2 linked regions of the Drosophila melanogaster genome follow. The protein of the gene in region 1 purifies or fractionates together with the protein of each later gene. This does not show direct contact. Each region holds a gene or a part of one and is shown in the gene's direction. Other genes may lie near its edges.

Evidence for each region. The genes of interacting proteins can lie anywhere in the genome.
Region 2: the proteins of pgc (region 1) and Cdk9 purify together in Drosophila melanogaster (affinity purification with western blotting, with the first as the bait; one study listed by BioGRID). This does not show direct contact.

What each region holds. Positions count from the first base shown.
Region 1 is NT_033778.4:22,328,105-22,331,856, forward strand, and holds the start of pgc (polar granule component), read left to right. Parts: upstream 1-2,095; 5' UTR 2,096-2,157; coding exon of another isoform or gene 2,158-2,900; intron 2,901-2,957; coding exon of another isoform or gene 2,958-3,099; intron 3,100-3,153; coding exon of another isoform or gene 3,154-3,528; intron 3,529-3,743; coding exon of another isoform or gene 3,744-3,752. Other genes in the region: Gp150, read left to right, coding at 1-26, 89-420; CG34207 (uncharacterized protein), read right to left, coding at 1,311-1,616; T3dh (type III alcohol dehydrogenase), read right to left, coding at 2,158-2,900, 2,958-3,099, 3,154-3,528, 3,744-3,752.
Region 2 is NT_033778.4:22,635,985-22,639,736, reverse strand, and holds Cdk9 (Cyclin-dependent kinase 9), read left to right. Parts: upstream 1-2,009; 5' UTR 2,010-2,146; coding exon 2,147-2,331; intron 2,332-2,393; coding exon 2,394-2,478; intron 2,479-2,537; coding exon 2,538-2,795; intron 2,796-2,863; coding exon 2,864-3,550; 3' UTR 3,551-3,674; downstream 3,675-3,752. Other genes in the region: CG3732 (uncharacterized protein), read left to right, coding at 1-200, 257-699; bonsai, read right to left, coding at 924-1,426, 1,486-1,619, 1,679-1,884.

The sequences.
Region 1 (3,752 bases):
GGAGACCCGTGATAAATTCCTTCTGGGTAAGTTTTAGCCAATCATTCGTTGATGGAATGTATTCCAATCGTATGTTTTACCTTCTCAGAGAAACTGGGCTTCGACAGCGAAAGCGAGGAGTCAGATGAGTACACCGAGAAGATGATCTTCCACGGCGAACTATCCTACGACCTGGTGGTCCCACTGATCGTCGTGTCCTTCTGCCTCCTGATGATCGTGCTGTCCATCGCCCGAGTGATCTACGTGGTGCTGCGCAAGCGCGGCGAGCGCTATCGCATGGCGCTGCTGGCCTCAAAGAACTCGTTCGTATACCAGAAGTTGAGCGAGGACATCGTGAAGCCGACCAGCAAGGAGCAGAAGGAGCCCAAGCATCTGAAGCAGCCAAAGGTGCACCGATACGCGCCCATCAATCAGGTCTAAGTCCACCTAGAATCAGCAGTTCCGGGCCGGTGGCCGCGGAAATCGAACGAGTTGCGCTGTTTTTCTAATTTATAAGTATATTGATAGTTGAAAAAGTGGAAAATCACATCAGACAATTGACTAAACACAAGCACAAGAATGTAAGAAACAGGAGGAGGAGCAGTAGGTGGCAGTTAAAAGTATTAGCGAAAGTGCGAGGAAACAAAGCAACAACTAAAAAATACTTGAATCCAAATAAGAGATTGAAAGAGAGAGAATAAATCTTTGACAAAATCCTTTATCCTTGAAATATCCTGTACCATCAAATACTGTTAAGACCAGTCAAAGGTCCTTGGCAACAGCAGAGGTGGGCTTTCAGAGAACGCGTTTGATGAGCAACCGTTTCGAAAGCAACGGATTTGCAATTTATCAAACCTCTGCCCACAATCCGTATCCAATTAGTCCATATCCGGGAACAACTTGAAGATTTAGTGCCATTTTGCCAAAATTCAAACCGAGCGAAAATTACTTAAACACATTAAGGTTTCTAAACTGAGTGTCAAGTCAGGAACAAGAAACGAGGAGCGAGGAACAGAAAGTAGTAAGAGTTTTAGATGCGGGTCTGTGTAGCAAACGGTTAGGAGACTCCCTAGAATGACGTCTGATTTTTAATATGATCAAGAGATGAGAGAAATAATTAATGCATAAACTATGTTAAGACTTTTTTATTATCTTTTTTCCAATCGAAGGCAAGTAACAGCTTGACCTATTCGACATTGAAACCGATTCCGAAAACAATAAATTATTTTAACCAAACCGATCGTAATCTTTACAATGCATACTTAATAGACATACACACTTGCATACGTACTTTAAACAATAACATGCCTTTCAATAAAATTGAATATATTTTATCTGCGTTCAATAAAAGACTCAAGTTGACCGACATCCCCTTCCTCCTTTACGTAGGTGCTCAAATTCCGCTGGAAACAGAGTGCCAATTCGTTATCTTCCCGATCCCGTTTCAGTTCCTCTCTGACCTGCCGCCACATCCGTTCAAATCCACTATCGAACGGCATTCCCAGGAAGCGATTATGTCTGGAACGGAGTTCATTGCCGATCTGCTGCCACATTGCCTCGAATTCCCCGTCGTAGGGCATCCCTAGAAATTTACCCTCACATCCGGAGGATTCGAACATGAAGGAGTACTCAAACATGTTTCAGTCTAAAATATATTATAATTACAAAAATTACAAGCTTTTTTTGGAGCAACTAATTTGTAGGATTTAATCCTTTTTTTTTTGTTTTAATGATATGATATCATGTATGATTTGTATGATATTATATTAATATTAATATCTTATATCATAGTATTTTTGGTCCCAGCGTCGGTCTTCTTCCTGCAGCTTAGGAAAGCAAACTGAGTAGAGGATTCTCAAACGAAGTGCAGACCAAAAAAGAGGCCACAAAATAATGCTGAATGTACATAAGATCCATTGCGACAAAGAACATAAAGTAAACAAAAATCAAGCAGGGCATCAAATTTCCTGTGATTCTGTATAGGGTTTTTAATGGTATTTTTCGTATATACACAAGTCCAACCAAAATTAAATGGTTCACTCTAAGCTTTTTATACGCTTAAAAAAAATAGAATTTTGAAAGCTCAAGTATGGTCAGATCTTAAACGAAGATCCGTTAGTTTAACATTTTTTTTTCTTCAAGAGAACAAGTTGAGCGTGGGTAAGTTTTGGCTCCAAATTAATAGACCTCCATGGACTTCTCAAAGAGTTGCGACAGGTTTTCCTGCGTCTGCGCCCTGGGTGCTAGCTTAGTGATCCTTTCCTGGGGCAGGGTTCCCTCCACCAAGGCGGGTATATCGCTGCTGGAGAATCCCAGCTCTCGGAGGCCATTTTCTATGCCCGCGCGTTGCATAAAACCGCGTACAGTGTCCGCCAAAAGACGACCGGCGTCTGCTTTTTCGACACCTCGCACTTCTGCGCCCAGCAACTGGGCAGCCTCCAAATGCCGATCCGGACAAGCTGGAGCAGTGAACTCAAAGACCGCCGGAGCACTGATCACCACGGATAGGCCGTGTGGAATAAGAGCGTGATCCGCGGAGTAGCCCTTTGGCTTGTAATCCCTCACATTTCCAGAAATAGGATAGGAAAGGCCATGACACAGGTGCACTCCGGCATTACCAAATCCCACGCCAGCCATTGTGGAAGCCAGGTGCATCTGGGATCGGGCTTCTAGGTTATCGGGCTGGTAAATGGCGTTCACAAAGTTTTTCCTTATCGTCTCCAATGCGAATCGTGCCCACACATCCGACACTGGGTTCCTGCCCTGGTAGGTGGGTCTCAAGCTGGGATCACTGGGCGCCAAACCGCGTTCCCTGTAATCCACCGCCGTGAAACTCTCCAGGGCATGGCAGAACACATCAAAGCCAGCGAAAGCCATCACGCGTTGCGGCTGGGATAGGGTGTGCAGAGGATCAATCACAGCTAGAGTTAGATAGAACGATATTAGAATAAATTATTTAAAGAAGTTCAGTTTTTTACCCAAAGTAGGTTTGAGGAACTTGCTGGAAATCCCAGTTTTGGCATGCAACTTCTTGTAATCAAATATAGCTACTCCAGTGGTTTCGGAACCTGTTCCCGAAGTGGTGGGCATCGCAATCAGGGGCTTCAGTTTTACGGATATCTAAATGGAATTCAAGTGGTATTAAAGGTACTAAGTCTAAAAAGGAGACCTCACCTCCTTGCCTCTGCCAATTGGGCAGTTTACATAATCCAAAAACTCTGCATTTGCATCACTGCTAAAAAGATTAGCTGCCTTGGCTGTATCCATGGCAGATCCTCCTCCGATGGCCAGAAATGCATCGAACTCCTTGCCGCGCGCAAACTCCACGGCATGCCACATGCTCCCATCCGTGGGCTCCACCCGGGTTTCATCATAGACTTCGTAGTTGATGCCATTACGAGCCAGTGAATCCAAGGCCACTTTCACGGAGGGCAATTGCACGACATTTTTATCCGTGACCAAACAAACCTTCCGAGCTCCCAAGTTGCGAAGATCGGCTCCCACTTCGGCACTTACTCCCGGTCCAAATCGAACAGTCGAGGCTGACATCTGTTTATCAATACATTTGACCAAATTTGAATTAGAATTTGTTATATACCGAACAAAATTTAAGTTAAAAGTATTCACAAGATCTAAAATATAAATTCTATTGGGATGCTTAAGAATATAGAGATAGTATTATCTGGTCCAGGGTATGACCACCTGTCTAAAGATGAGAATCTACTATCTGGAGGTGCTCCAAAGTCCAAGGTTTTGCCACTTACCTCGAAGGC
Region 2 (3,752 bases), 310 kb from region 1:
CGGGAGCAGCAGCAGTAGCAGCAGCTCAAGCAAGAAAAAGCTGGGCACCGAGATCGGCAAGGCGGCGGCCGACAAGTCGCGGGGCTTGTTCAGCGCCGAGGACTGGCAGTGCAGCAAATGCGCGAATGTGAACTGGGCCCGTCGCCAAACCTGCAATATGTGCAACGCTCCTAAGTTCTCGGATGTGGAGGAGCGGACTGGTGAGTCCGTAGAAGCCTGATCTGCTTCAAAACCCACTTAACCAGTTTCTTTAAAGGCTTTGGCGGTGGATACAATGATCGCGGCGTGGTAGAGTACAAGGATCGTCAGGATTCGGATAGCGAGTACGATGAGTTCGGTCGTCGCAAGAAGCGAAAGCACGGCGAGCATAGAGAGGACTCAAAGAGGCCCAGAAGGTCTAGCCGAGATGAGCAGCGGAATGATGAGGAAGAAGATGAGGACGACGACGAGGGAGACGACGAGGATCTATCAAAGTACGATCTCTGGGGCGACGAAGAAGTCACTTCCACGGATGTCAAGAGCAAAGAGGGCACTGGCAATGGCGACAAGGAGCGCAAGCGTACCTCACGCGACTCTACCTCTTCCGTGTCCTCCTCGTCGTCGTCCAGTTCGTCCAGCTCCAGCGACTCTTCGTCGAGCAGCTCGAGTAGCTCCAGCAGCGGCGGCAGGCGGAAAACCTCCTCGTCGGGCAGACGTTAGCTGCAACCGTACCCTTTAGGAACTTCTCTTTAATTGCGTCTGTTTTTACACATTTTTCTAAGGCAATCATGCTTGCCTTCTTATTTATTTGCCAGTATGCGCTCAGATGATCATGACATAGGGTACGATGTCCAGCCTAACTCTTAAAGTATAATAAAACATATAATTTAAGAAAACCAGCATTTACATTTATTGTAAGACACCGTAACATTAAAGAATCGGGCCTAATTGAAGCCATCCTCGTTTTGTTTCTTGCTGCTGGCGGCTGCCTCCGCCTGCTGCAGCTCCTTCAGCATTTCCAGCTGCCTTTTTGAGTCGGCGATCTTCTCTTCTGTCACGGTCACGGGGACATCGCAGGAAATCTGTTCCTGCCGCACGAACTGCATCTTCTTGATGGCCTCCTCAAGGAAGGGTATTTGCTGGGCCTGCAGCTGCTTATGGTAAGCCTCTAGCCGCTCTTCCTTTAGGTTTTCGCAGTATATGTCGGTCAACTTTTGGAGGGATTCCTTGCGGGTGATCCAGTGGAAATGTGTGGGCGGTGGCTTGTACACCAGGTCGAGTTTCTCGAGAATCCACTCGAAGCGGGGATAATCCCAACGTCTCAAGTACTTGAGGAACTTCTTGCGTTTGTCGATGAGCTCCTTGAGACGCACCTTGATCATCTTGTCGCGCGGATGCTTGTCCATGTGCTCCTGGTAGCGGCGGATAACTGCAGTCATTTTTGCCACTAAAAGAAGGGCAAATTTGGGGGGAACTGCTATATGTGCACTTTGCAAAGATACATACATTTGGCCTCCATTGAGCCGAAATCCTGGGCATGTCTTTGCACCTCCTTGACCATCTCATCGCGATAGAATTTTGTGGTCAGGTAACTAGCGTTGTTGCTCAGTTTGAACAAGGATTTAACTGACTCGTCGGCTCTACAAAATGGTGAGATGATGTAAATAAACTATTATATTGAGAGAATACTGCAACATACTTATCCAACTCCTTGCAGTCCCTGTATTCCGGCAGCAGTTCGTCGGCTTTCAGAGGAGGCAGCTTGGCTAAATCGCCGCTCTTTTCGGGCTTATAGCACGCGATCTTCTCGGGGCGCATCCATTTGATTTTCAGGTCCGACTTGAATGCATATTCCCGGACAAACTGCCGATGCCCTGCCTGGGCTATATTCAACAGTTTATTCATTAATTCGGCTTTTATTTGTTGGACAAATTTTGGCTAGGTTATATCACTTGGCCAGTGTATACCAACAATCGAAAAGTTATTACTACCCAGCTGTTTGACCCATCGATTTCTTATCGATAGGCCTTGACAGTGTGTGCACACCGGTATTTCTTTAGTCAACAGCTGTAGAAACACCAATTGTTGCCGATTTCTTTCTTTTCGACTGTCGGCTTCTCGCGAAACTGTGATTGTGAAAATTGTACAAATAGAGGCAAATTTAACCATGGCGCACATGTCCCACATGCTCCAGCAGCCTTCGGGGTCGACGCCCTCCAACGTGGGCTCCAGCTCATCGCGCACGATGTCCCTGATGGAGAAACAAAAGTACATCGAGGACTACGACTTTCCCTACTGCGACGAGAGCAACAAATACGAAAAGGTGGCGAAAATTGGCCAAGGCACCTTCGGGTAAGTCTCCAAATTGGTGAAAACTAACTTTAAACTAAAACATACGACCCCTTTGATTACAGAGAGGTTTTTAAGGCTCGCGAGAAAAAGGGCAACAAGAAGTTTGTGGCCATGAAGAAGGTGCTGATGGACAACGAAAAGGAGGGCGTGCGTGAAAAGCAACATCTTAAGAGACGAATTCCTTATTTATATATGTGCTCCCCTAGTTTCCCATCACGGCTCTGCGAGAGATCCGCATCCTGCAGCTGCTAAAGCACGAGAACGTGGTGAATCTGATCGAGATCTGCCGCACCAAGGCCACCGCCACGAATGGTTACAGATCCACCTTCTATTTGGTCTTTGATTTCTGCGAACACGATTTGGCAGGTCTTCTGTCCAACATGAACGTCAAGTTCAGTCTGGGCGAGATTAAGAAGGTTATGCAGCAGCTTTTAAACGGTTTGTATTACATCCACAGCAACAAGGTGAGTCATGTCATTAAGCAAAGTTTTGGTTTTACATTGTATGTATCTGTTTTCATTTGCATTACTAGATCCTGCACCGAGACATGAAAGCTGCCAACGTGCTGATTACCAAGCATGGCATCTTAAAGCTGGCTGACTTTGGCTTGGCCCGTGCTTTTAGCATTCCAAAGAACGAGAGTAAGAATCGCTATACCAATCGCGTAGTAACCTTGTGGTACCGGCCGCCTGAGCTGCTACTTGGTGACCGCAACTATGGTCCACCCGTGGACATGTGGGGAGCCGGCTGCATAATGGCCGAGATGTGGACACGCTCGCCCATCATGCAAGGCAATACGGAGCAGCAGCAGCTAACCTTTATCTCGCAGCTATGCGGCTCCTTTACGCCGGACGTGTGGCCGGGAGTGGAGGAGCTGGAGCTGTACAAATCCATCGAGCTGCCAAAGAACCAGAAGCGTCGAGTCAAGGAGCGCCTGCGTCCGTATGTCAAGGATCAAACCGGCTGTGATCTATTGGACAAATTGCTGACCCTTGATCCCAAGAAACGCATCGATGCGGACACAGCTCTGAATCACGACTTCTTCTGGACGGATCCCATGCCCAGCGACTTGAGCAAGATGCTGTCCCAGCACCTGCAGAGCATGTTCGAGTACCTGGCGCAGCCACGCCGCAGCAACCAGATGCGCAACTATCACCAGCAACTGACCACCATGAACCAGAAGCCCCAGGACAACAGTATGATTGACCGGGTTTGGTAGACTGCCAGAGGTGTACGCACCCGACTAATAGTTTCTCACCTTCAACTAGCGTTAGGTTATTAGGTTAGTGTACAATAAAAATATTGGCATTTGCATTAGCGCTTGCTCCAAATATACCTACATTATGTTTCTCTGCTTCTTATTATTCTTTATTCAAAGTTTCTACAATTACTTGAAGTTGCAAGAAAGGGTATTCACAATC